Macaca mulatta: one gene and its partners. The protein of the gene in region 3 purifies or fractionates together with the protein of the main gene of each other region. This does not show direct contact. Links are inferred from orthologs where the notes say so. Each region holds a gene or a part of one and is shown on either strand. Other genes may lie near its edges. The genes, in order: RBBP7, SMARCA1, C16H17orf49, BPTF, SMARCA5 and HMGXB4.

Evidence for each region.
Region 1: the proteins of C16H17orf49 (region 3) and RBBP7 purify together in Homo sapiens (affinity purification with mass spectrometry; 3 studies listed by BioGRID). This does not show direct contact. The link is inferred for Macaca mulatta from reciprocal best matches to the Homo sapiens genes BACC1 and RBBP7.
Region 2: the proteins of C16H17orf49 (region 3) and SMARCA1 purify together in Homo sapiens (affinity purification with mass spectrometry; 4 studies listed by BioGRID and IntAct, with this or other methods). This does not show direct contact. The link is inferred for Macaca mulatta from reciprocal best matches to the Homo sapiens genes BACC1 and SMARCA1.
Region 4: the proteins of C16H17orf49 (region 3) and BPTF purify together in Homo sapiens (affinity purification with mass spectrometry; 5 studies listed by BioGRID and IntAct, with this or other methods). This does not show direct contact. The link is inferred for Macaca mulatta from reciprocal best matches to the Homo sapiens genes BACC1 and BPTF.
Region 5: the proteins of C16H17orf49 (region 3) and SMARCA5 purify together in Homo sapiens (affinity purification with mass spectrometry; 5 studies listed by BioGRID and IntAct, with this or other methods). This does not show direct contact. The link is inferred for Macaca mulatta from reciprocal best matches to the Homo sapiens genes BACC1 and SMARCA5.
Region 6: the proteins of C16H17orf49 (region 3) and HMGXB4 purify together in Homo sapiens (affinity purification with mass spectrometry; 4 studies listed by BioGRID and IntAct, with this or other methods). This does not show direct contact. The link is inferred for Macaca mulatta from reciprocal best matches to the Homo sapiens genes BACC1 and HMGXB4.

The regions. Positions count from the first base shown.
Region 1 is NC_133426.1:16,527,653-16,531,152, reverse strand, and holds part of RBBP7 (histone-binding protein RBBP7), read left to right. Parts: intron 1-2,200; coding exon 2,201-2,374; intron 2,375-3,383; coding exon 3,384-3,499; intron 3,500-3,500. UniProt on the Homo sapiens protein: Core histone-binding subunit that may target chromatin remodeling factors, histone acetyltransferases and histone deacetylases to their histone substrates in a manner that is regulated by nucleosomal DNA.
Region 2 is NC_133426.1:135,929,608-135,933,107, forward strand, and holds part of SMARCA1 (SWI/SNF-related matrix-associated actin-dependent regulator of chromatin subfamily A member 1), read right to left. Parts: intron 3,109-3,500; coding exon 2,986-3,108; intron 669-2,985; coding exon 536-668; intron 1-535.
Region 3 is NC_133421.1:8,489,038-8,493,243, reverse strand, and holds C16H17orf49 (BPTF-associated chromatin complex component 1), read right to left. Parts: upstream 2,801-4,206; 5' UTR 2,680-2,800; coding exon 2,659-2,679; intron 2,469-2,658; coding exon 2,374-2,468; intron 1,752-2,373; coding exon 1,650-1,751; exon of another isoform or gene 1,511-1,649; intron 1,029-1,510; coding exon 838-1,028; intron 620-837; coding exon 515-619; intron 461-514; exon of another isoform or gene 273-460; coding exon 208-272; 3' UTR 5-207; downstream 1-4. Other genes in the region: RNASEK (ribonuclease kappa), read right to left, coding at 3,252-3,393, 3,791-3,867. UniProt on the Homo sapiens protein: Component of chromatin complexes such as the MLL1/MLL and NURF complexes.
Region 4 is NC_133421.1:77,673,487-77,676,986, forward strand, and holds part of BPTF (nucleosome-remodeling factor subunit BPTF), read left to right. Parts: coding exon 1-145; intron 146-1,485; coding exon 1,486-3,500. UniProt on the Homo sapiens protein: Regulatory subunit of the ATP-dependent NURF-1 and NURF-5 ISWI chromatin remodeling complexes, which form ordered nucleosome arrays on chromatin and facilitate access to DNA during DNA-templated processes such as DNA replication, transcription, and repair.
Region 5 is NC_133410.1:152,330,259-152,334,504, forward strand, and holds the start of SMARCA5 (SWI/SNF-related matrix-associated actin-dependent regulator of chromatin subfamily A member 5), read left to right. Parts: upstream 1-1,446; 5' UTR 1,447-1,914; coding exon 1,915-2,091; intron 2,092-4,246. UniProt on the Homo sapiens protein: ATPase that possesses intrinsic ATP-dependent nucleosome-remodeling activity.
Region 6 is NC_133415.1:16,281,771-16,285,270, reverse strand, and holds part of HMGXB4 (HMG domain-containing protein 4), read left to right. Parts: intron 1-2,127; 5' UTR 2,128-2,195; coding exon 2,196-2,226; intron 2,227-2,889; coding exon 2,890-3,038; intron 3,039-3,500. UniProt on the Homo sapiens protein: Negatively regulates Wnt/beta-catenin signaling during development.

The DNA of each region.
Region 1 (3,500 bases), on a different chromosome or scaffold from region 3:
TATTCAGTTTACGTTTATATGTGTGTGTGTGTGTGTATTTTTTTTTTTTTTTTTTTTGAGACAAAGTCTTACTCTTTCACCCAGGCTGGAGTGCAGTGGTGCGATCTCGGCTCACTGCAACCTCTGCTTCCTGGGTTCAAGTGATTTCCCGAGTAGCTGGGACTACAGGCGCCCGCCACCACAGCCAGCTAATTTTTTGTATTTTTAGTTAGGGACAAGGTTTCACACTGTTAGCCAGGATGGTCTTGATCTCCTGACCTTGTGATCCGCCCGCCTCAGCCTCCCAAAGTGCTGGGATTACAGGTGTGAGCCACTGCGCCTGGCCAATATTCAGTTATATTTTTTAATGGATGTGATCATTAAGACAGTGACTTCAAAATTTTAAGTTTGAGAAAACAAAACTCTTGTGTTCAAAGTAAATCCTACTTGGAAGCGCCCCTCCCCCCCCTTTTTTTTGGAGAGCTCTTCAGGTTGTTTTAGCTAAAGGAATCAGGAAATTTGAGTATCTTTGTAGCAGAAGGGTTAGAGCCACTGGAGTCCATGCAATGGGATGTTGAAGGTCAAAGTGAAGCAGGTTTGGAGCAGTCTCAGGAGGCAGGAGACTATTGGATCAGGAGGGGTCTTAGCATGCTGAGGCACACTTCTTCCATTGACACCATGGAACAGAAGGTGCTATGAGGAAAAAGGGTCCTTTTGCATGTTGTCACGTGAGAGTAGTGGGTAAAGGAGCTTTGAAGTAATCGTGGATTTGAGATACGGTTTTTTCAGCCGCACTGCAATAGTAAGCTATGTTTGCTTCAGAGAGAACAGCTAGATACTAATATTAAGACATGGAAGCCAATGTTCATTAAGCATTCCACATAGAAGGAGCTGCCTGGAACTGAGAAATGGTTTTCTCCTTTTGGTGGTTGCTCCAGGCCCCGGTCTGTTTTACTACTTATCAGCCTGGCTCCAGTAGGCATTTGTGCTAGTTGTCCCTGACCTGAGACATAGGGTGAGCTAAAATGGAATGTGCAAAGAAAAGGCAATATAGGTCAGGAAGAATAACACAATTGTAGTGTGAACTCTCCTATCTTTTTAAGCCTCAGCAACTAATTCAAGTTTTTTATCTATGAGCACAAAAAAGAATGTTCTTGTTTGCTGTATTTGCTTAGATATTCTCTATTTGTATTCTTTCTGCTAATATGTTGCTACTTCTTGGAAGTTACTGTGCTTTTTATATGGCTTTGTTACTTTACAAGGCCTTTTTCATGATTATTTAATACTACAGTCTTATTCACACACCGTCTTATTCACACACCAGATGGGCGGAGAGGTTAACCTTGGCATTGCACTAGCAGTTAAACCAAGGATGCTAGCAGGGCCAACGTATGTGTGTTAAGGGACAGGTAGGGGTTAGCATGGGTTTCACACTGATTTGAGGATGCTTCTGACTTTAGACTCAAAGGGTGTTCATACTCCTGAGGGTTAAAACTTTTCCTGTTTTGATGAATCCTAAAATAAGATGCTAAATCAGTGCAGCACTTCCAGTGAGTTGTATTTGAACTAAAAAGCTGTTGGTCTGCTTATTATATGGTTATTTGAAATTTCAGTGAATAACTGTATCATCTTCATAACTGAAAGAGGACAGTTGTTTTAGATCCAAGGTGGAACTGAATTAAGTTGCATAAGGCAGCTACCAATGTTTTCCAGTGCAAATGGGCTTTAAGAATAAATTGGGCCGGGCGCGGTGGCTCAAGCCTGTAATCCCAGCACTTTGGGAGGCCGAGGCGGGTGGATCACGAGGTCAGGAGATCGAGACTATCCTGGCTAACATGGTGAAACCCCGTCTCTACTAAAAATACAAAAAACTAGCCGGGCGTGGTGGCGGGCGCCTGTAGTCTCAGCTACTTGGGAGGCTGAGGCGGGAGAATGGCATGAACCCGGGAGGCGGAGCTTGCAGTGAGCCGAGATCACGCCACTGCACTCCAGCCTGGGAGACACAGCGAGACTCCGTCTCAAAAAAAAAAAAAAAAAAAAAAAGAATAAATTGATGTGGCAAATGAACCCACATTTTTGGATTTTCTCTATGCATGTCTCTGTCTTTGGCTTGTCAATTTGTGTTGTATTCTGCCAGGTCAAAATCTGTTGGGTTGATTGAACTAAGTAATTTGTGAATTTTAATCCTGAGTGTGTGTGTGTTTCTTTCTCCTCACATTAGAATTTGGTGGCTTTGGTTCTGTAACAGGAAAAATTGAATGTGAAATTAAAATCAATCATGAAGGAGAAGTAAACCGTGCTCGTTACATGCCGCAGAATCCTCACATCATTGCTACAAAAACACCATCTTCTGATGTGTTGGTTTTTGACTATACAAAACACCCTGCTAAACCAGGTACGTAATAATAAAGTCAGGTCATTACTTGAGCAGTTTTCTTGATTCAAACTGGTAATGTTTTTAAGTCAAAGTAGCATACTTTGTAATATTTAAAGGTTTAAAAATTACTTTGGGGGGTCCCATAACCATCCTCAAGTTCAGGGATTTGCCAGAACTGCCTAAAAGCAGCTTATACTAACAGCTAAAGTTTATTACAGCAAAGGATCCAGAGCAAAAGTAGGAAGAAAAAGATATACATCAGGGGAAGTCCAGAGAGGTTAGCTACAGGTGTCTGAGTCCTTCCCATCCAGGGTCACGTGGGACATACTTTGTCTCTAGCAGCAAACCATAGGAACATGTGCCAAATGTCTCTACCCAGGGCAGCCCATTTGAGTTTCAGAATCTGGGATTTTTGTGGAGGTCTGTTGGCATGGGCACATCCTGTTCTATGACCAGCCATGGTAACAAAATTGAGAACCCCAATAGTGAAGCCAAATACATTGTGAATCTTGCTAAACAATCCTACAAGTCTTGACAGGTTCCTATGGCATACCCCACTGCTCTGGGCTTACACAACTTTACCAGTCAGTGACGTGAAGAACTTTCTGAGGGTCACATTCCCAGGGGTTGGCTAAGGGTCATTTATGGTTGCAGGCTACCCTAGAGGCATGCAAGGACTGAGCAACCAGACCTGCTGTGTTAGAAATATTTCTAAAAAATTGGGGAGTTGGGGGGATAGGGTTACCACTGCCCAAATTTGTAGGATAGCTATAGTTTTTAGTATTTTTGTGTTGGGGATAATATTAGGTTTTCCAAAGAAACCAATCGTTTAATGGTCATGAGGCTCAATTTGCATTGGGTATTAAGAACGAAGCAAAGAGAACAGCTTTTTAAAGTGGTTATGGGTCAGACCAGATCTTGTTCATGTGCAATTGCTGTAATGGCTCACTCAATGAAGGAGTGAGAATTTATTCTCACCAGTTCTGATAAACAGAGAACAACTTAATGTTTTTTCATCTTTTCTTAGACCCAAGTGGAGAATGTAATCCTGATCTCAGGTTAAGAGGTCACCAGAAGGAAGGCTATGGTCTCTCCTGGAATTCGAATTTGAGTGGACATCTCCTAAGTGCATCTGATGACCATG
Region 2 (3,500 bases), on a different chromosome or scaffold from region 3:
AGAGAGGGAGACGATTCGAGGACCAGTTAACAGATTGATTAAAGCAACCTTTTCAGCTCTATGCCCACTAGCCTCAAGTTAATGGGACCCACAGGAACTCTCTGGAAAAGGTTGGAACTCTGAGGGTGTTTGAGCATCTAAATGGGCCTGACGGGAACTCTCTACATTAAGGACGACCTAGAAAGAAAGGCATGAATTCAGTCCACTGAATATGAATCTCAGAACTGAACCAGAAGAGGACCAAATTCCAGAGGTGGGAAGGTGGGAAACTAATTTTGTCAATGCTTATCCAATAGCCACCCTTGTTTTATCGAGCTTTATTTGGCTCTTTTAGCTAGGTGATAGAAACAACAGCCGTCAGTTTGTTAGGATAAATCTTATAATCTTTTCATAGAAACACAAGTACAGTTTATACTCTCATCTATGTCTTATTCATAAAAGTTTAAAACATCTCTGAACAAAGGTACAATTAAACTGGTGCTACATAAATGAATAACGTTAAAATACAACACCATGTTTCAAATTATATACAAACCTGAATACTCCATGACCTCCTCAGGGGATTTGCCCTCTACCTCTCGAGCTATGTTATCAATGTCATCTCTTCCATATTTCTCATTAGCTTTAATAAACTGGTTAAAATCTCGTTTAGTCCAGTTTGTGAAACCCTGTGAACAAAAAGTTAAGCATTATCAATAGAGGTTAAATTAATAAATCCATTTATTGTCCTATTTACTTCTATACAATGATACATTTTAAAACACTTTAAAAGACTTAAAATGTTTCTCCTCATAAAATTGCACATATTTTATGTTGGAATCAAAAGTTGAGTGAGAGTTGTTACAGAAATAACTGCTTTTCTATTACAAAGAGAATGTAATCCTCTCCAAGTACTTAAAGTTGATATATAGTTCTAAGATTTTCTGTAGTTTTTAATTTCATATTTTATAGATGCCTACTACATTAAAATACAAATGCATGAAAATAAAAATGCTAATATAAATGCTGAAGTCGTGATATTCTAGTACTTCAATGATTTTTTTCACAGATCTGTTCCCATGTAAATTAAGAGAGAGAAATGTGGATACACTAAATCAAAAGAACACTGAGAATAACCAAAAGAGAATGCAAAAAAAAAAAAAATTCTAACTCTTTACATCATTCTGAACTAGTGGGAATAAATAATTTCTGTTCTAAATTATGTTCCTAAATAGAACTTCTACAAGCAGAATGTTATTGGAGCCACTCAATTTCTTTACTAAAACATAAACACTTTAGCCAGTGTTTTAAATTCCCTTGGCATTATTAGCATGTCTGTGAAGTCACAAGACCAAAAATTTGTTTTCCACTCCTCGAGCCCCAACTCACATAAACGTGATACTCTAGACATTGCAAAACTCTATCCCTGGCTTTTAGTCGATAAAGATTTCAGATGACCCCACATTTTGTTCCTATGTACTGCCATGGTTTTTGAAAAAGATTAATTATTTAAGGTAGCAGAGAAGGACAAAAATGAATTCATCTACTAGGAGGGGCAGAAAACTGATTATATTTCTAATCACAAACTAAAATATTATCTCAGTTGAGATTGTATATTCATGTTATACCATACATTCACAATATACTCCAAGCCATGTAGCATTCTAAAGCCGTAACTTCACTTTTGCATTCAGGAAATACATTTTGAAAACAGAAGATGAATATTTAAATGTTTTATTTTATCCTGTGGTAAGTTCTAATATTCAGCCATCTGCAATTATATTTTCAAACTAAACTTTATTACTTCCAGGCATTTGGTTCAAAAACTTATGAATGTAATTTGTGAAAATCCAATACACATACAATAAAATTACATGTTACAGCAAAGACCTATATAATAAATAACATATAAATATAAAAACTATCTTTCAATAATTAATGCGGAGAATTACCTGCTATTATGCATTGCACATTGTTCAAAATTTGTTGAATAAATAAATCTTGCTGGCAACCCTCTATACTAAAGTAATGTCTTACAAGTACACATTTTGGCTTTCTCAAGCCTTCTGTGCTGAAATTCTTTTTACCTTCCATAGTTTATTTTAGAAGTAGAACACTCGTAAAACTCGTTATAGCAATAGTAACTTGAAAGCATTAATATTTTGTTCAAATGGAAGCCTTTCTAATTTAATAATTGTTATACAATGATCACCTTAAAAAGTTTCAGAAATATCATTGCATGAAAATTCTAAAAAAAAATAAAAATAATTTTGAAAATTACGAAATTATTCTATTAATAAAAAATTAATGGAATATAACTTCTGGAGACAATTCACACCTATAAACAAAAGAAATTTAAATTTTCAAGAATATGCTAATAACAGGCTTGGCCCGTTGGCTCACACCTGTAATATCAGCTGCACTTTGGGAGGCCAAGGTGGGCGGATCACTTGAGGTCAGGAGTTTGAGACTAGCCTGGCCAACATGGCAAAACCCCATCTCTACTAAAAACACAAAAATTAGCCAGGCACGGTGGCGGGTGCCTGTAATCCCAGTTACTCAGGAGGCTGGGGCAGGAGAATCGCTTGAACCCGGGAGGTGGAGGATGCAGTGAGCTGAGATTGCACCACTGCACTCCGGCCTGGGTGACAGAGCAAGACTGTCTCAAAAAACAAAAAAGAATATGTTAATAACTACTGTCTATCAGAATTCAAATGTGGATTCACTGACCTTATTACAATTGGCAAAATGTGTGTCATATTGCTAATACTTTACACTTATATTTTGCATATACATACTACCCAGTATTTCCAAAAGGGCATATTCTATAAGATCAATTTTTAAAAATAGGGATTTTGGTCTAAACATGTTTACAAAATAGCCCTGAGTTTTGCTGGTGTGTCAAACTAGGATACTAGGCCCATACAAAAAAAATTAAGTGTGATCTGTATTTTCTTTTTTTCTATCGATTGACTGTAAATATTTCAGCCATTGAAAATACTTTACTTGGGTGAGAAGTTTTTCCTTTTCTTCAGTCTCTTCTGGTGTAAGAGGTTCAGCTCCATCAATCTTTTTTTGCTCTTCTCTTTGAGCCAGAGCTGGATTTGGGATATCAGGATTCCTTGGGACCTATAAATCAAGAGACAAACTAAGAGTACACTGACGAGAAAAATTAATTACTAAGGCTGTATATACACAGCCTTATCAATCTTTAGAGTTATTTCAAGAGTAAACAATATAAAATCATAGTCAGAATGACACATGGTCCTCTCCACATTTCTGCTACCATGATCCTATTGAAGTAAAAACCATTATTGTGCCACATGATATTCCATAGTTAAAACTCATTAGTAAATGCCACATTAGATTTCAGATATGATTATACTCTGGAACAAAGTCTATCCTTATACTATTGTAATATACAGAACAAACAAAAAGTTTGGCAGTAAAAAGAAAAAAGAACCCATATTACCCTGGCAACACAGAGCAGAATGGAGAAGTGGCAATGCACCTAAACATTA
Region 3 (4,206 bases):
CACGAAGCTGAGAGGGAAATCTTTATTGTTTTCTGTATAAAAATGTCCATCAGATGAAGGTCAAGGGGGTCGGGGGCAGATGCTTATGCGGGCACAGCGAGGTGGCAGCCCCAGCAGCCTTTCAGCCCTCTCTCGTGCAGGCCTTGCTCGGAGTCCCAGGAGATCCACAGGTCCAGCGTGAACAGTGAGAGGTCAGAGGTGGAAGGCTCAGCAGGAGAGGAGAGGAGGATCAGCAGAGGTCATGAGAAGGCCAGAATCCAGGGTCAGGCTGTCTGGAACAGGAAGTAAAATGGGCCGAGATGGAGCGAGCCCCCAGTGTGCTTCCGAGGCCACTCCCAGCTCCCTGAAACACCCTGCTACGTACTGACCCAATGCCCTGCGCTGTGTATGAGAGCACCTTCTCTTCCGAAACCCCTGTACGAGGGAGGGGCCCCTGCGGAGACCGTGCCCTGCCATCCAGGTGAGCCCTTTCTCTCCCACCCTGTCAGCTGTGTGGGAGGAGGAGGACTCCTACCCTGGTCGAAGTTGAGTTTCTTAGCTGGAGGAGTTTCTCCTAGCCCTTCAATATCCACCAGGTCACTGTTGGCGTCGGAGTCGTTCAGAGCACTGAGTGTCACATCTGGGAAGGGGGCATAAGCTAGGTTCTAGGTTCCCCTGACGGCCTCTCCCCCAGCCCCGAGCTTCCCAAAGCTTCGTGCCTCCCCTCCCCTCTGCCCCTCTCTGGGAACCTCCACAGGGACAGGAAGAGAGCTTGACCCTTCTTTGACCCAGGCCCAATTCTCTCACTGAACCTCAGATGGACTTTTAACCCCTAGGTAGCAAGTCCACAGCCCTCACCGGCCTTCTGTTTCTTTATGGGGGGACCCCCGGCCTCGGGGACACTGGAGCTGCTGGGAGGAGGGGCAGCTGGAGGAGGTGATAAGACACCAGATGCCACCTTCTTGGGCCCTTTCTTGGGTGACTCAGCTGGAAGGGGGATGCCAGAATCTTCATATACCTTGCGTTTCACAGTGGCCTTTATCTGAGCCCTGAAGAAAAGAGAGAAGAGGTTAGGAAAGGAGTCATCAGAGAGACTAACAGAAGAAGGGAGGGGAGGTGAAGGGGTTCTGGGAGTCCCTTGAAAAGAATCCAGGTCGGGGCCCCAACCCATTGGGAGGGTTCTCACTTTCCCAAAGTTTTACACTCACTCAGGGTGGGTGGAATGTGGAGAGTGGAGTCCCTGAGATGAGTAGTGGGAAAGGCCCATCTCCTCATTCTCTTCCGGGAGAGACATCGGGTAAGGCTTGGTGATTTACAGGTGGATTGGGATTTACTGATCAACTAGTTCAGGATCACCATATCCCTGGAAACACTGCAGTGGAGTCCCCCAAAATTTATATAAATAACCAGGGGACTTCCATCATCAAATACAATAACTGAGCATCTCAGGCAACCTAAATTCACATTCTTGGAAGGACTACCACAGCATTTTAGGAACTTCTGACCAACTGTGACAATTCTGTTCTTTCAGTTCTCAAGGGCATTCTAAAAAACTAGTGACAAAGTAGGGAAGCAGCTGAGCTGGAAAGGAGTTCTGAGGACGATGGAACCTTGGGTAAGGAGGAAGAAGGCTGCCCACCCGCCCTTTTCTGGCAGCCACCCTCCCTCACACTGTCCGTTCCTTGATGACACAGCTGATGTGATTAAGATCGTCCCCAAATCGCTTCACAGCAGCCCTCAGCATCTCTATTTCCGTCTCCGTCCACTTCGCACTGTCAGAAGGGGAGAGGGGGGATAGCAAAAATGGGAGGGGGGGTGTGGAGCCAGCCCACAGGCTATGCATCCCACAGTCAACCAGCCGCCTCCTTCCGACTTCTGGGACCCCTTCCACGGATGCATAAAGAGGTCCTCCATAGGGGCGGGGGACGGGCGGGAAGCTCTTGAGGGCCCTGCGGGAACCTGGAGGACCCCAATCACAAGAAATCACAACCACCTCCACCTTAGACACCCCTTTCCACCATGAACGTTAACCGGCTGCTGTACACAGCACACTGAAACCAACTCGCCAAGAAGGGCTTTTCAAACAGACCCACCAACAGCCTGCAGCCGTCTGGGGGAATTCCATGAACTGGGGTGGTTGGGAGTGGCGGTGGTTTGTGGTCGACCCGTTCGCAGCAGGGAGAACTGTGAAATAGGAGTCTGGGCCATAGGCCTGTCTGTATTTTTATCTGTCATTCATTCCCTCATCCAACGATCATTTATTAACACCTACTCTGTGCTGTGCCAGGCACAAAGGGAAACTAACGTCTGTCCCTGTGCTAGAGAGGGTCCGTGTCTGTGACCGAGTCCAAGCGCCCGCTCTCAGCGTCCACGTCCCAGTCCGGGCTCACGTACCCCGCAGGGGAAGAGTCGGCCACAGGATGCAGCTGCATCGTCAGCTCCCCGAGCTTCGTGAAGGCGGCGCCGGCCGCCGAGAAGATCTCTCCGACCTGGGGGCGGGGCAGCGTCACGGGGGGCCGGCGCCCGCCCTCCCCGTCCCGCCTGGAGCCCCTAGCCCCACCCCAGGCTCGGCTCCCGCCCGCCCCCCGCCCCCCGCCCGGGGCGGAAGAGCCACGAGCCAAGTGGGGGGCCCGCCCTCCCGTGGCCGCCAGGGAGCGCTGTCCGCGGGGGAGGTCGAACCTTTGTGGACGCTGACGTCATGGCCCCGCGCGCCTCCTCACGGAGACGCCGCCGCCGCCGCTACACGCGAGCCGGGACCACGGAGAGCAGGGAGACGGAGCGGCTCAGGCCCCCGCGCAGGAAGTCCCGCCCTTCCCGCAGCGGATAGGCTCAACCCTGTGGCTCCCCGCCCCATCAGATGCAGTCGCTTCGACAGCTTGGCGCGCCCAGGCCAAGGGGGAAGCCTTCGCCTCACTTCCGCACCACTTCACTCCACTTCCGCTCAGGGGTCGGGACTCCCCAGGCAGAGGCCGACCTCCAGCCTCAGCCCCGTGCTCGCCCCCACTGAAGCACAGACACAGGGCATAAGAGAGCAGATTCTCTTTATTGAGATACGGGACACAGCGAAGGGTGGAGAGACGGAACAGCCCCCCAGCCTCAGCCCTCTCCACGGGGGCCGGATGCCAGAGATGGGAGAAGAAGAGATTCAGTCTCTCGCCCGGGAAACTCAGTCCCGCAGAGGGTGCCGGCAAGGGTGGGACGCGACCCGGGTGACGCGGTGCAGGGAGTCTTTAAATAGAGGAGGGGCTGGAGCGGGGAAGGGCGCCCGGGCCCTAGCGCACCATGTATTCCTTGCGCTTATTGAGCCGAACTTGGCAGAAAGAGAAGCCTCCGAGGAGGAGGTAAAGGCCCGCGGCGATGAAACAGTTGTAGCTGACTTGCTCGTAAAGGTTGTATATGTTCTGGGGGCCATTCCTGGGGGTGGGAATGAAGCAAAGGTGTCAAACGTTAATAGCAGCCAACGTTTGCTGAGCAGTATGTGCCCAGCACCTGTCTAGGCGCTGTTACGTGTATTACTTTATTCAATCTTCTTGACAATCCTATGGGGTGAGATCTGTCATAGCAGCCATTTTGCAGAGGTGGACTGAGAGGCTCAGAAAAGTAAAATACGTAAAGAGGCCACACCTAAAGTGGTGGGTTTGGAATGGCCGCTGAGGTCTGACTCCCTAGCTCCTAACCACATTCTCAAGAAAGCAGCTCTCCTCTCCCTGTTCCCTAACCTAGGGGCCCCAAGCACCCGACCTCCCAGACGTAATCTGACCTCGCCACCTCCCACCTGATCCCAGCCCGCCTCCCCCACCCGAATACTTACTCAAAATCTTTCTCTGTGAAGGGAACGTCCTCAATCAACACAGCGGAATGGACATTGAAAAATATTCCGAGCATTATCTGGAAAAGGGGAATGGGTAGGTTGTTGAATTCAGGCACCTGACCTCAAGTTCACTTCGTAAACCCCTCCCATTTCTAATGTTGCTACCACACCCGTGCCTAAGATGAACCAAAACGAGGTGGTGGTTACTGGATTCGGACTCAGCCACCTGGAACAGGGCGTGAGGTGGTGACATTGAGACAAGTGGCCGAGGCAAGGGTAGGAATAGTGACCAAGCCTTCTCTCCCAGGAACCCAGATTATCGTCCTCCCTGGAGGCGTCATCGTCACGGGACAGTGCGCAAGAGGGGAGGGAGAATCGGCACTTCTTCGTATCATTTCTTCTTGAAGTGGCGGTGG
Region 4 (3,500 bases), about 69 Mb from region 3:
GATAAAAGAAAATGTTCACGAAGTCCCAAAAAAATAAAAACAGAGCCTGATTCTGAAAAAGATGAGGTAAAAGATTCAGATGCTGCAAAAGGAGCAGACCAAAGTGAAATGGATATCTCAAAGATTACTGAGAAGAAGGACCAAGGTAAGGAGAGTCAGCTGTGGAGGGCAGCCTGGGGGTGATAAGAATGCAGTGGATCGGGGTCCCACCACAGGAAAGGTACTGCGTTGTGTTTTCTTGATAATAGCTTTATTAAAATGTAATTCATATCCCATACAATTCACCCAATTAAAGTGTAAATTCAGTGGTTTTTAGTATAGTCACAAAGTTCAACCATTATCACGTCAATCTTAGAACATTTTCATAACCTTGAAAAGAAGCCTCATTCATACCCATTAGCAGTTACTTACCAATCCTTCCCCAAAGTGCCACCAGCTTAGCGGTCTTCTTTCTGTCTCTCTGGATTTGCCTATTTTGGACAGTCCATAGAAATGGAATCAGGCAATATGTGGTCCTTTGTGGCTGGCTTCATCCACTTAGCATGTTTTTAAGGTTCATCCATGTTGTAGCATGTATCAGTATTTTCTTTCTATTTCTGAATAATACTCTGTATGGATATGCCACATTTTGTTATCCATTCATCAGTTGATGGACATTGGGCCGTTTCCTCTTTTGGCTATTATGAATAATGCTGCTATGAACATTCATGCAGAAGTTTTTTGTGGCCAAGCGTTTTCACTTCTCTTGGAGATATACCTAGAAATGGAATTACTGGATCATATGGTAACTCTGTTTAACCTTTTGAGGAACTACATTGTCTTTTGTAACAAGTCATTTTTTAAAAAACTAAATAAGCTAAATAATGCATGTGGCTAGAGATACGTTATAACTGTAAAAGTCTATACAAAATATTACATGAAGGTACTAGCGTGTGCAGTAGCCTGCCACATACTAAGTACTTTTTCATTATGGCATTCCATCGTTTTTAGATACTAAGGATCAGAATATTTAATTATTTTGGGGATGTATGTCTCATAAAGTTCAACACTATCTATTGACCAGGAACTTTGAAATATATGTTTAAACTCTAGAGAGAAAATGAGAAAAATAGATACTTTAATATTTTTGGCTAGGCACAGTGGCTCATGCCTGTAATCTCAGCACTTTGGGAGGCTGAGTTGGGCGGATCACCTGAGGTCAGGAGTTCAAGACCAGCCTGGCCAACATCGTGAAACCATGTCTCTACTGAAAATTCAAAAACTAGCCAGGCATGGTGTCACATGCCTGTAATCCCGGCTACTCGGGAAGCTGAGGCATGAGAATTGCTTGAACCCAGGAGGCGGAGGTTGCAGTGAACTGTGATCACGCCGCTGCACTCCAGCCTGGGCAACAGAGTGAGACTCCATCTCAAAAAAAAAAAAAAAAGTATAAATTCCTCCTTTCAGAGTAAAAGTTACATTTCTATAAATGTCTTTGTTTCACAGATGTGAAGGAGCTTTTAGATTCTGACAGTGATAAACCCTGCAAGGAAGAACCAATGGAAATAGACGATGACATGAAAACAGAGTCACATGTAAATTGTCAGGAGAGTTCTCAAGTAGATGTGGTCAATGTTAGTGAGGGTTTTCATCTAAGGACTAGTTACAAAAAGAAAACAAAATCATCCAAACTAGATGGACTTCTTGAAAGGAGAATTAAACAGTTTACACTGGAAGAAAAACAGCGCCTCGAAAAAATCAAGTTGGAGGGTGGAATTAAGGGTATAGGAAAGACTTCTACAAATTCTTCAAAAAATCTCTCTGAATCACCAGTAATAACAAAAGCAAAAGAAGGGTATCAGAGTGACTCGATGCGACAAGAACAGAGCCCGAATGCAAATAATGATCGACCTGAGGACTTGATTCCGGGATGTTCAGAAAGTGATTCCTCAGTTCTTGGAATGAGGGATCCTAGTCGTACCACCAACAAACTTTATCCAAAAGATCAAGTGTTAGATGATGTCTCCTTTCGGAGCCCAGAAACAAACTGTCAGAAAGAAAATTCCGTTGAAAATGACATAGAAGAAAATGCCTCTGACCCTGCCAGGAAAGGCCAGGAACCCAGTAAGAGTAGAACAAAAGGAAATGGTATTTTCATTGATGACTCTAAACTAGCCAATGCAGGTGATATTGGTTCTTTGATCTATAGGAACGAAAAACTGCTCATACAGGAGGAAAACGACACCATCGTTTCTTCTTCCAAGAGTGCTTTACATTCATCAGTGCCTAAAAGTACCAATGACAGAGATGCCACACCTCTGTCAAAAGCAATGGACTTTGAAGGAAAACTGGGATGTGACTCTGAATCTAATAGCACTTTGGAAAATAGTTCTGATACTGTGTCTATTCACGATAGCAGTGAAGAAGATATGATTGTTCAGAATAGCAATGAAAGTATTTCTGAACAGTTCAGAACTCAAGAACAAGGTATTGAAGGCTTGGAGCCATTAAAATGTGAATTGGTTTCTGAGAAGTCCACTGGAAACTGTGAGGACAGACTGCTGGGTAAGGTAACTGAAGCAAATGGTAAAAAAACAAGTCAGCAGAAGAAATTAGAGGAGAGATCAGTTAATAAATGTAGTGATCAAATAAAGCTAAAAAATACTACTGACAAAAAGAATAATGAAAATCGAGAGTCTGAAAAGAAAGGACAGAGAACAAGTACATTTCAAATAAATGGAAAAGATAATAAACCTAAGATATATTTGAAAGGTGAATGCTTGAAAGAAATTTCTGAGAGTAAAGTAGTAAGTGGTAATGTTGAACCAAAGGTTAATAATATAAATAAAATAATCCCTGAGAATGATATTAAATCATTGACTGTTAAAGAATCTGCTGTAAGGCCGTTCATTAATGGTGATGTCATCATGGAAGATTTTAATGAAAGAAACAGCTCCGAAACAAAATCACATTTACTGAGTTCTTCAGATGCTGAAGGTAACTACCGAGATAGCCTTGAGACCCTGCCATCAACCAAAGAGTCTGACGGTACACAGACGACCACACCTTCACCATCTTGTCCAGAAAGCAATTCAGTTAATCAGGTAGAAGATATGGAAATAGAAACCTCAGAAGTTAAGAAAGGTAGTTCATCACCTGTTACTTCTGGAGAGGAATCTAATCTCAGTAATGACTTTATTGATGAAAATGGTCTGCCTGTCAACAAAAATGAAAATGTCAATGGAGAATCTAAAAGAAAAACCGTCATCACAGAAGTCACTACGATGACTTCCACTGTGGCCACAGAATCAAAAACTGTGATCAAGGTAGAAAAAGGCGATAAGCAAACTGTGGTTTCTTCCACAGAAAATTGTGCGAAATCCACTGTCACAACCACCACTACAACGGTGACCAAGCTTTCCACACCTTCCACGGGCAGCAGTGTGGACATCATCTCTGTAAAGGAGCAGAGCAAAACTGTGGTCACCACGACAGTGACAGACTCCTTGACCACCACAGGA
Region 5 (4,246 bases), on a different chromosome or scaffold from region 3:
ATTAGCCGGGCATGGTGGTGCACACCTGTAATTCCAGCTACTACGGAGGCTAAGTCATGGGAATCCTTTGAACCCGGGAGTTGGAGATTGCAGTGAGCCGAGATCACACCACTGCACTCCAGCCTGGGCGACAGAGAAATTCTGCCTCAAAACAAAACAAAACAAAACAAAACAACCATTATTCTACATTAACGGTTGTTAAAGGTTAATAGTTCATTTTCTGGGTGTACGATAGTTTTAAAGACGTAACTTTTAATACTGGATTCAGCCTACTGCTGTTAGCTTTTTGCAGTTACATATGAAGAGTATGATGAACATCATTGTAGGTATTTATCTTTGCACATATCCTTAGACATTTCCTTACAGTCTAAGAACTAGCATTTCTAGTGGAGTGGGGACATTTTTCCAGATGTCAATTAAAAAATTATTCCATTAGTTAAAAAATTTGCAGGCTATATATTCAAAGGAGATCCCTTTTGTTTGGAATTCAACATAACCAGTTAGCTCAAACCTCAACTCTTGAAAAATGTGCCTCCTTTATTCAACAAACATTTATAGAATACTGGATATGACGAATAAAAAAAGATAAATAAGACCCTGTGCTGGGCAGATAATCTACTGTAGTATGCAGATTTGTTATCAAATAGACTACAATGTATTTAAATTTTGCAGGAGATGAATGCACAAGGCCCTTAAACTACATTGAAGGCTGCCTAAGGCAGTATACAAAATTAGTGCTGAACACTTGAGAAAGTGCGTTTTAATTTTAATGTTTGATGCTTGAGGAAAAGATTACATCATACCACCTATCTTCCCCACATACTATTTGTGTTTCTCACTTACATGGTAGTGTGCATGTTATTTGCTTACCTTTAGCATATAAATTCAGAAGAAATAGCATTTAACTCTGTGCTTAAAGAGGATATTTAGAAATAACTGACGCAGCTAACATGAGAAGGCAAAAAAAACAAAACAAAAACCAAAAAAGAAAAAACTAACGGACTTTTTTTTTTTTTTTTTTTTTTTTAACAAAACAGTGAGACGTCACTTGGGGTAACCATAACGTCGTCAAGGCTGTGGCGTCACGCCTCTAAGCGGATACGGCAGAAGTTTTGGGGTCAGACACAAGACTTCCAAGTTTGAATGGGCAGCGCAAAACTCAGGTAAGTTTTCCAGTAGTGCCGCCGATCCCAGCCAGGCCCGGAAGACACAACGAGAACCGTGAGCCGTTACGAAAGCCTAAAACACTGAGCTCGCGTCCTGCCAGACAGCAGACGCACAAACCTACGCCTCCGAGCGCTCCCTCGAGGTCCCGCCTACTCTTCTCTCCCGAGCCCGCTAGAGGTCTGGAGGAGGAGGGGCCAAGGGTGAGGAGGAGGGGCCAAGGGTAAGGAGGACAGTATGAGCATGCGCACTCAGTACCCAGTCAGTGAACCAATAAGGAATCTCGCGAGGGTTGAAAGTCGGTGGCGTAGGTAGTCGTCCTGGATGCTGGCGAGATAGACGATATCTGCCAGAGGAAGAGGAGGAGGAGGCGGCGAAGCGTTTTCCCAGCCTCAGTCTCTGTTTCGTTTTCCTTTTCCCTTCCCCCAACCCTCCGCCCTTCTCTAAATCAGCCCGCCTTCCTTGACCTCAGTGACCCGTCTGGCCCCGCCCATCCTCGTCGACGTGATTCCCGCCGTGAGGTAAGCGCCGGTGGAACCTAGAGCCCCGCGGAAGAGCAGAACGTCTGGGAGTGTGCAGCTCCTGGGCCCGGCTCAGGCCCGTCGCGGAGGCGCGGCGCGGGGGAGCGCTCGGGTGGGAGTCTCGCTCCTCCACCAGTTTATTGCGACGTAGCCACCCGGGCCTAGGCCTCCCCGTCCATCCCCGCCGGACTCGGCCTCTGGCAGCAGCGGGTGACGCAGACGGAACATCATGTCGTCCGCGGCCGAGCCTCCGCCACCCCCGCCTCCCGAGAGCGCGCCTTCCAAGCCCGCAGCCTCGACCGCCAGCGGCGGGAGCAACAGCAGCAACAAAGGCGGCCCCGAGGGCGTCGCTGCGCAGGCGGTTGCGTCTGCGGCCAGCGCGGGTCCCGCAGACGCCGAGATGGAGGTGAGGGCAGCTTGCGGCGTGGGGAGCGGGCGCAGCGGGGAGGAGGAGCTGGCTCCCTCGCCGGATCGTGGCGATCGGACGCAGAGCCGGGCTTCTCTCTCTGCACCAGACTCAGCTTCACACCCTGTGGATACGAAATGATGCTCTCACCCTTGCTCCCTTGTTCTTAACCTATTGGAGCCAAGCAAAATGGATTTCCGGCTCCTCACGTTGAAATTATTTGTCTCTTTCGTGAATCTTGACAAATCTTTGAATGCTCTCAATGAACAGATGTTCTTGGTTACCGTGGCCCAGGGGGACCCATCTTTTTTTCGCACTAGACTCCCATAATTCCCTCTCCTACCTCTGAATGTGGTTTTTAGTTTCCACCAAACTTCGGGGAAGGGCGAGGAGATGACCCCTTAGGAGCGGGATGCACGGGCAGGGTGAAGGAGGCATTTAAAAGCAGCGCGTCCGAGGACTTGGGCCTCTTTTTCTTCTTCCCGGTCCTTGCGGGGGCGGTATCTGTTCTGGGCAGAAACAATGGCGAGAGCTGGATGGCCGAGTGCGCAGTGGGGATAAGCGGGGCGCAGCTGCTTCTGTGAAGGGAGAGGAAGCCCCTCCCAGGCACTGTTCCACTGGAAGGGAAGCAACCAAGGCAGCAGCAGCTGTCTCGGATCCCCCATCGAATTTAGGGGGGATGAGTAAGTGTAGGAATGAATTAGAGAACCAGGCGCAGTTGATTGGCTCTCAGTCCGGCACTTTTTCTCTTTTTGGCCTCTCGCCTTAAAAAAAAAAAAAAAAAATTAGTACCACTCGGCTCCCGAGACTTCTGGGTTTGGGTTGTCCAGAGGATGCTGACGGTACTGAGGGGGCTGGAAAGATGGGGAAGCTGCCAGGCGGGTAAATTGGATATGCCTCCAGGCTTTGCAATATCTGGGGAAAAAGTAATTGCTCCTTCCAATTGTTATTCTTGGCCTTCGACCTGTTTTGAAATATTTTGTAAGTCGGAGCCCAAAGATTTCTGGGATTTTCCTATCCTTAGAATGAAGGTAATACTGCTCCGAAGATGAGTCTTGACGCACAATCGTTGTACAGTGGGGAAATGGGAGCGTAGTTTACCATTGAGGCATTTGGCACAGTAGTTTTATTTGGGTAGCTGGGGTTAGGTAACATTAATGTTAGTAATCTTTTAAAGCACTTTTAGTGTGAGGGTAGGTTTAGTGACATAGGAACTCCTGATGGTTCCTGTAGTTTTGAGTGATTAGGATAAGATTTCTTTCAAATTAAAATATATTCAGTGTTGCCTGTTTTCCCCTTAAGGAAATGGTTCTTTTGGGTTACCAGGGCTCTTTAACTTGAATTCCGGTTCCAAGGCTTAAGGGGTTTGACACAAAGCAATTGTGTGTAAATGTGCAGTTCTGGACAAAAATCTGTTCATAGTTATCCTCAGCCTCTCAAAGGGGGGTCTGCCATCCAAACTTTGGAAAAATAAATTTTCACCAGAGGTCTTGTTAATATCTGAACACAGTAATTTTAAGCCAAAAGCAAGTCAACTTTTTTGACTTGAAGTTGTTATTTTAAATGAAAATTGATTTTAAGTTTAAATATGAGTATAGATGATGTCACTACCGTATTAAATTAGTGATATTTTCATTTGCCAGATGGGGAATTTGAGTTCTGCTAGGTAGAACCTGTGATAAAACTCAGGTCTGCCTTTAAAAGTGAGTCTTTTCCCACCCATCTTACTCTGCCGTGTTCTTACCAAAAAAACGTATTTGGCAGTTCAATTTATTGAATAACATAGTTATTTTTACCTTCCTAGTATAGAAATATTAGGAATTTTATTTTTTATCCATCTTATCACTGACTCATTTTGTTGTTGTTGTTGTTGTTGTTGACAGTGTGATTTTTTTTGTCTTAAAATGCACCGTCAGTTTCCTGTTCAGAATCACTGCAATTCATGATCAAAACTAAGTTTGAGCACACATGCCTAATATATGTCACAACTTAATCTGTTTTGCACTTGGAAAATGAATATTTTATAAATGACTTTTTCTTGTTTGGAAGTATGATCTAAGGTGTTTTTCTAAAATCACAGAATAAACTCAGCATTCATGAATTTTGTGTGCGTGTGTGTGTGTGTGTGTGTGTGTGTGTGTGTGTGGCAAAGCTG
Region 6 (3,500 bases), on a different chromosome or scaffold from region 3:
GGAATATTTAAGTTTTTTGCCATTATTTCTTAAATATTCTTTGCCAAAATTCATGCATGAAAATTCATGCACAGAAAGTGTTTAATTTGAGGTCTCCAGTGGTTCTTGGCGTTATCAGCCTATGAAAACCAATATAATCTGTATATTTTTCTTATACACTCAGTATTTTAGTGCCTTTGAGAGGGTATGCTGTTTTCAAATAAATGGATATAATTCCCTATATTTCCCTTGTCCTACCTGCGCCCCTTTTGGAGTCAGCACCACTTGGGTGGAAAGGGGAGGACAGTAGTTTCCACTGAGAAACTTTCATCCTTAAATGCTGGAACATGAAAAACTGGCTACATTATGTATCTTGCCTCCTCACATTTTTATCTGAGGCCTGACCTTATGTCCCCTTCGTTTCCTGTGAAAAGGCCCTTCGAACAGGCAGTTCTCCAGTTTATCTTTAAAACAATCCAGTTAATGTAGTTTCATTACTCTAGTTTCTGTTACTTTGACCAAATCCATTCTTTATTTCACTTCTCAGAGAAGTGAAGAAATGCTTTATGTTTCTTTTCTTATAAATCATTCTTCGTAATGCTTCATTTTCCTATTCAGGCCTACCTGTACATTGTATTTTATCTGATTTGTGCAAATAAGTCTTTTTAATGTAACTTACGAAAGCTTCCCTTGTTAATCAAATTCATCTTTTCTTTCACAAAAGTTCCATGCTTCAGTATTGTCCACAGTTGCCTGAAGGAATTAGTAATGTGTCATTTAAGTGTCCTTCAGTATTTCTAAATCCCCTTATAATAATGAAGGTCAAATTAAATTTAAATAAATTATCAATTAGATTAACTTTGTAAGCATCTGACTTAATTGGATGAGAACATTGCCAAAATATTTAATATGTAATTTTAAATTTCCTGAAGGACTTGTGACATTACTTGTTCTTAAAACTTTTAAAGAACTTTACCTTGGCTGGGCGCGATGGCTCACACCTGTAATCCCAGCACTTTGGGAGGCTGAGGCGGGTGGATCATGAGGTCAAGAGTTCAAGACCAGCCTGGCCAAGATGGTGAAACCCCATCTCTACTAAAAATACATAAATTAGCTGGGCGTGGTGGCAGGTGCTTGTAATCCCAGCTACTGGGGAGGCTGAGGCAGGAGAATCACTTGAACCTGGGAGGCAGAAGTTGCAGTGTGCCGAAACTGCCACTGCACTCCAGCCTGGGCAACAGAGCAAGACTGTCTCAAAAAAAAAAGAAAAAGAAAAAAAAAAAAACTTACAGTGCATTTTATAGCATTGTTATCATCAAAGTCAAAATGGACATATAAACTCAAATGCCAAAAAAAGATTGTAAAAATTCAATAAAACTCAATACAATATCTAGAACATTTAAATTATAGCAATTCTTATTAGTGAAGATCTTATTAATCATAAAAGTTTTATGACCAGTGGACAAATGATAAATATCTCCCTATTTTCACCTAGCCTTTAAGAAAGCCTTGGTGGTGGTGACAGCTGTCACATGGTCAACTGATGTAAGGAGTGTACCTGCTTTTACAATTACATAAATTTGAACAAATTCATGTAACCCCCCCCCAAAATGCAAAAGAAATTATGCTCTAAAGATATTTAATATTCCTATACAGTTAATCATTTCTGTTTAAATTACAATGCAATAGATGTTACCAGTTCACCAATCCAGTTGGTAGGATTTTATGGTCTTCAAATGTTTGGTGTGATCTGTCTTCTCTGCGTCTTGCTTTACCTGTGTATTTTATAACCAAGATTGAACCTATCCCTCTAACTTAATGTTGGTTTCTACCCTGTCTCAGTGTTGTCAGTCCTGTTGGCATTTCAGAAATTCTCATTAATTTTGAAAATATTTTTTGTATTGGAGGTATTTTATATACTTCCCCAAATGACAACTTTAATTCATGACTGAAATCTAATTAAGCCTAGTGTACTTCCTGCAGTATCAACCCCACTATATTTACAAAGAGAATGAGGAGGTGACAAGACACTCCTTTATTTCTTGCTGCCCTTCCAGTCGGCCCTTGGATCACTACACATTTCCATCTGGAAGGTTGCTTCTCCTCTGATTTCGCATTACAGGAGGGTTTTCCTTCTTTGTTTCTCAGACCTGGTCCTGTAGACGGGAAGGAGCCTGGACACAGTGACACATTCTCAAAGGCCCTGCAGGACCACCATGGCTTATGATGACTCCGTGAAGAAAGAAGGTATGACCCCATAATCTGAGAAGCATTCCAAAGGGGGTATCCTCTTCAATCCTTGCAGCCCATGGATATAGAGACCAGGACTGGGCACCACAGCCTGGACTCCCAAGTGATGGTCTAGAGCACTGTTATGACACTCAGCCTCCACGCCATCCCCAGACTGGGCCCATGGAAACGAAAACCAGGACAGGGGTTCCAACACGAGAGTCTGAAATATGAGTCTCTTAGTTTATTGGGGTGATCCCCTGCAGCACTCTTGGTCCTTGCCAGCTCCAGTGTGCAGGAGTCTGGGGATAGGAATCACATCCTGGACTCCCACAGAGAGCAGCACAGCACATGAATCATGAATCCTTATTCTTTTCAGCCTTTCGTCTGCAAGTCTGTGTCCACCTACCAAATCACAACTAAGAAATCATATCTGAGGTCGCACATGGGGCCTTTGCATAGCGTGGAAACATTGTTTCTTCAGGTTTGATTCTTGTATTTGCAGCCAGGTCATCAAGAAATATTCTGTTCCCCTGGGTCTAGCCCTGTATTTCAGTGGACTTGATTGAAACATTGTTTTAATTTGGAAATAGAGGAACTGTTGCATTACCTGCATGGTGATTTGGTCGTTACTTACTTGACATTCTCATTTCCTTTCCCAAATAAACCTGTGCTTCTCAGATTGTTTTGATGGTGATCATACCTTTGAGGACATAGGACTTGCAGCTGGCCGAAGCCAACGAGAGAAAAAACGTTCTTACAAAGATTTTTTAAGGGAAGAGGAAGAAATTGCTGCTCAGGTCAGGAATTCTTCCAAGAAGAAGTTGAAGGTAAGTCCTAAAAATTTAAATTAGGAAAGTCTTAAACTACTTTTTTTTTTTTTTCTTCTTCTGATGCAGAGGTTTTTTTTGCTCTTGTGGCCCAGGCTGGAGTGCAGTGGCGTGATCTCTGCTCACTGCAACCTCCACCTTCCGGGTTCAAGCGATTCTCTTGCCTCAGCCTCCCGAGTCGCTGGGATTAACAGGTTCCTGCCACCAAGCCCGGCCAATTTTTGTATTTTGTTAGAGACAGGGTTTCACCATGTTGGCCAGGCAGGTCTCAAACTCCTGACCTCAAATGATCCACCTGCCTCAGCCTCCCAAAGTGCTAGGATTACAGGCCTGAGCCACTGCACCAGGAAAGTCTTAAACTACTTCTTACCATATTTCCTAATATTTGAAGAAGGAAGTGTTTTTTAATAACTTTAGAAAAGAAAAATAAAATGTTGTGCGCATCTGTTTTTATTATTTCTT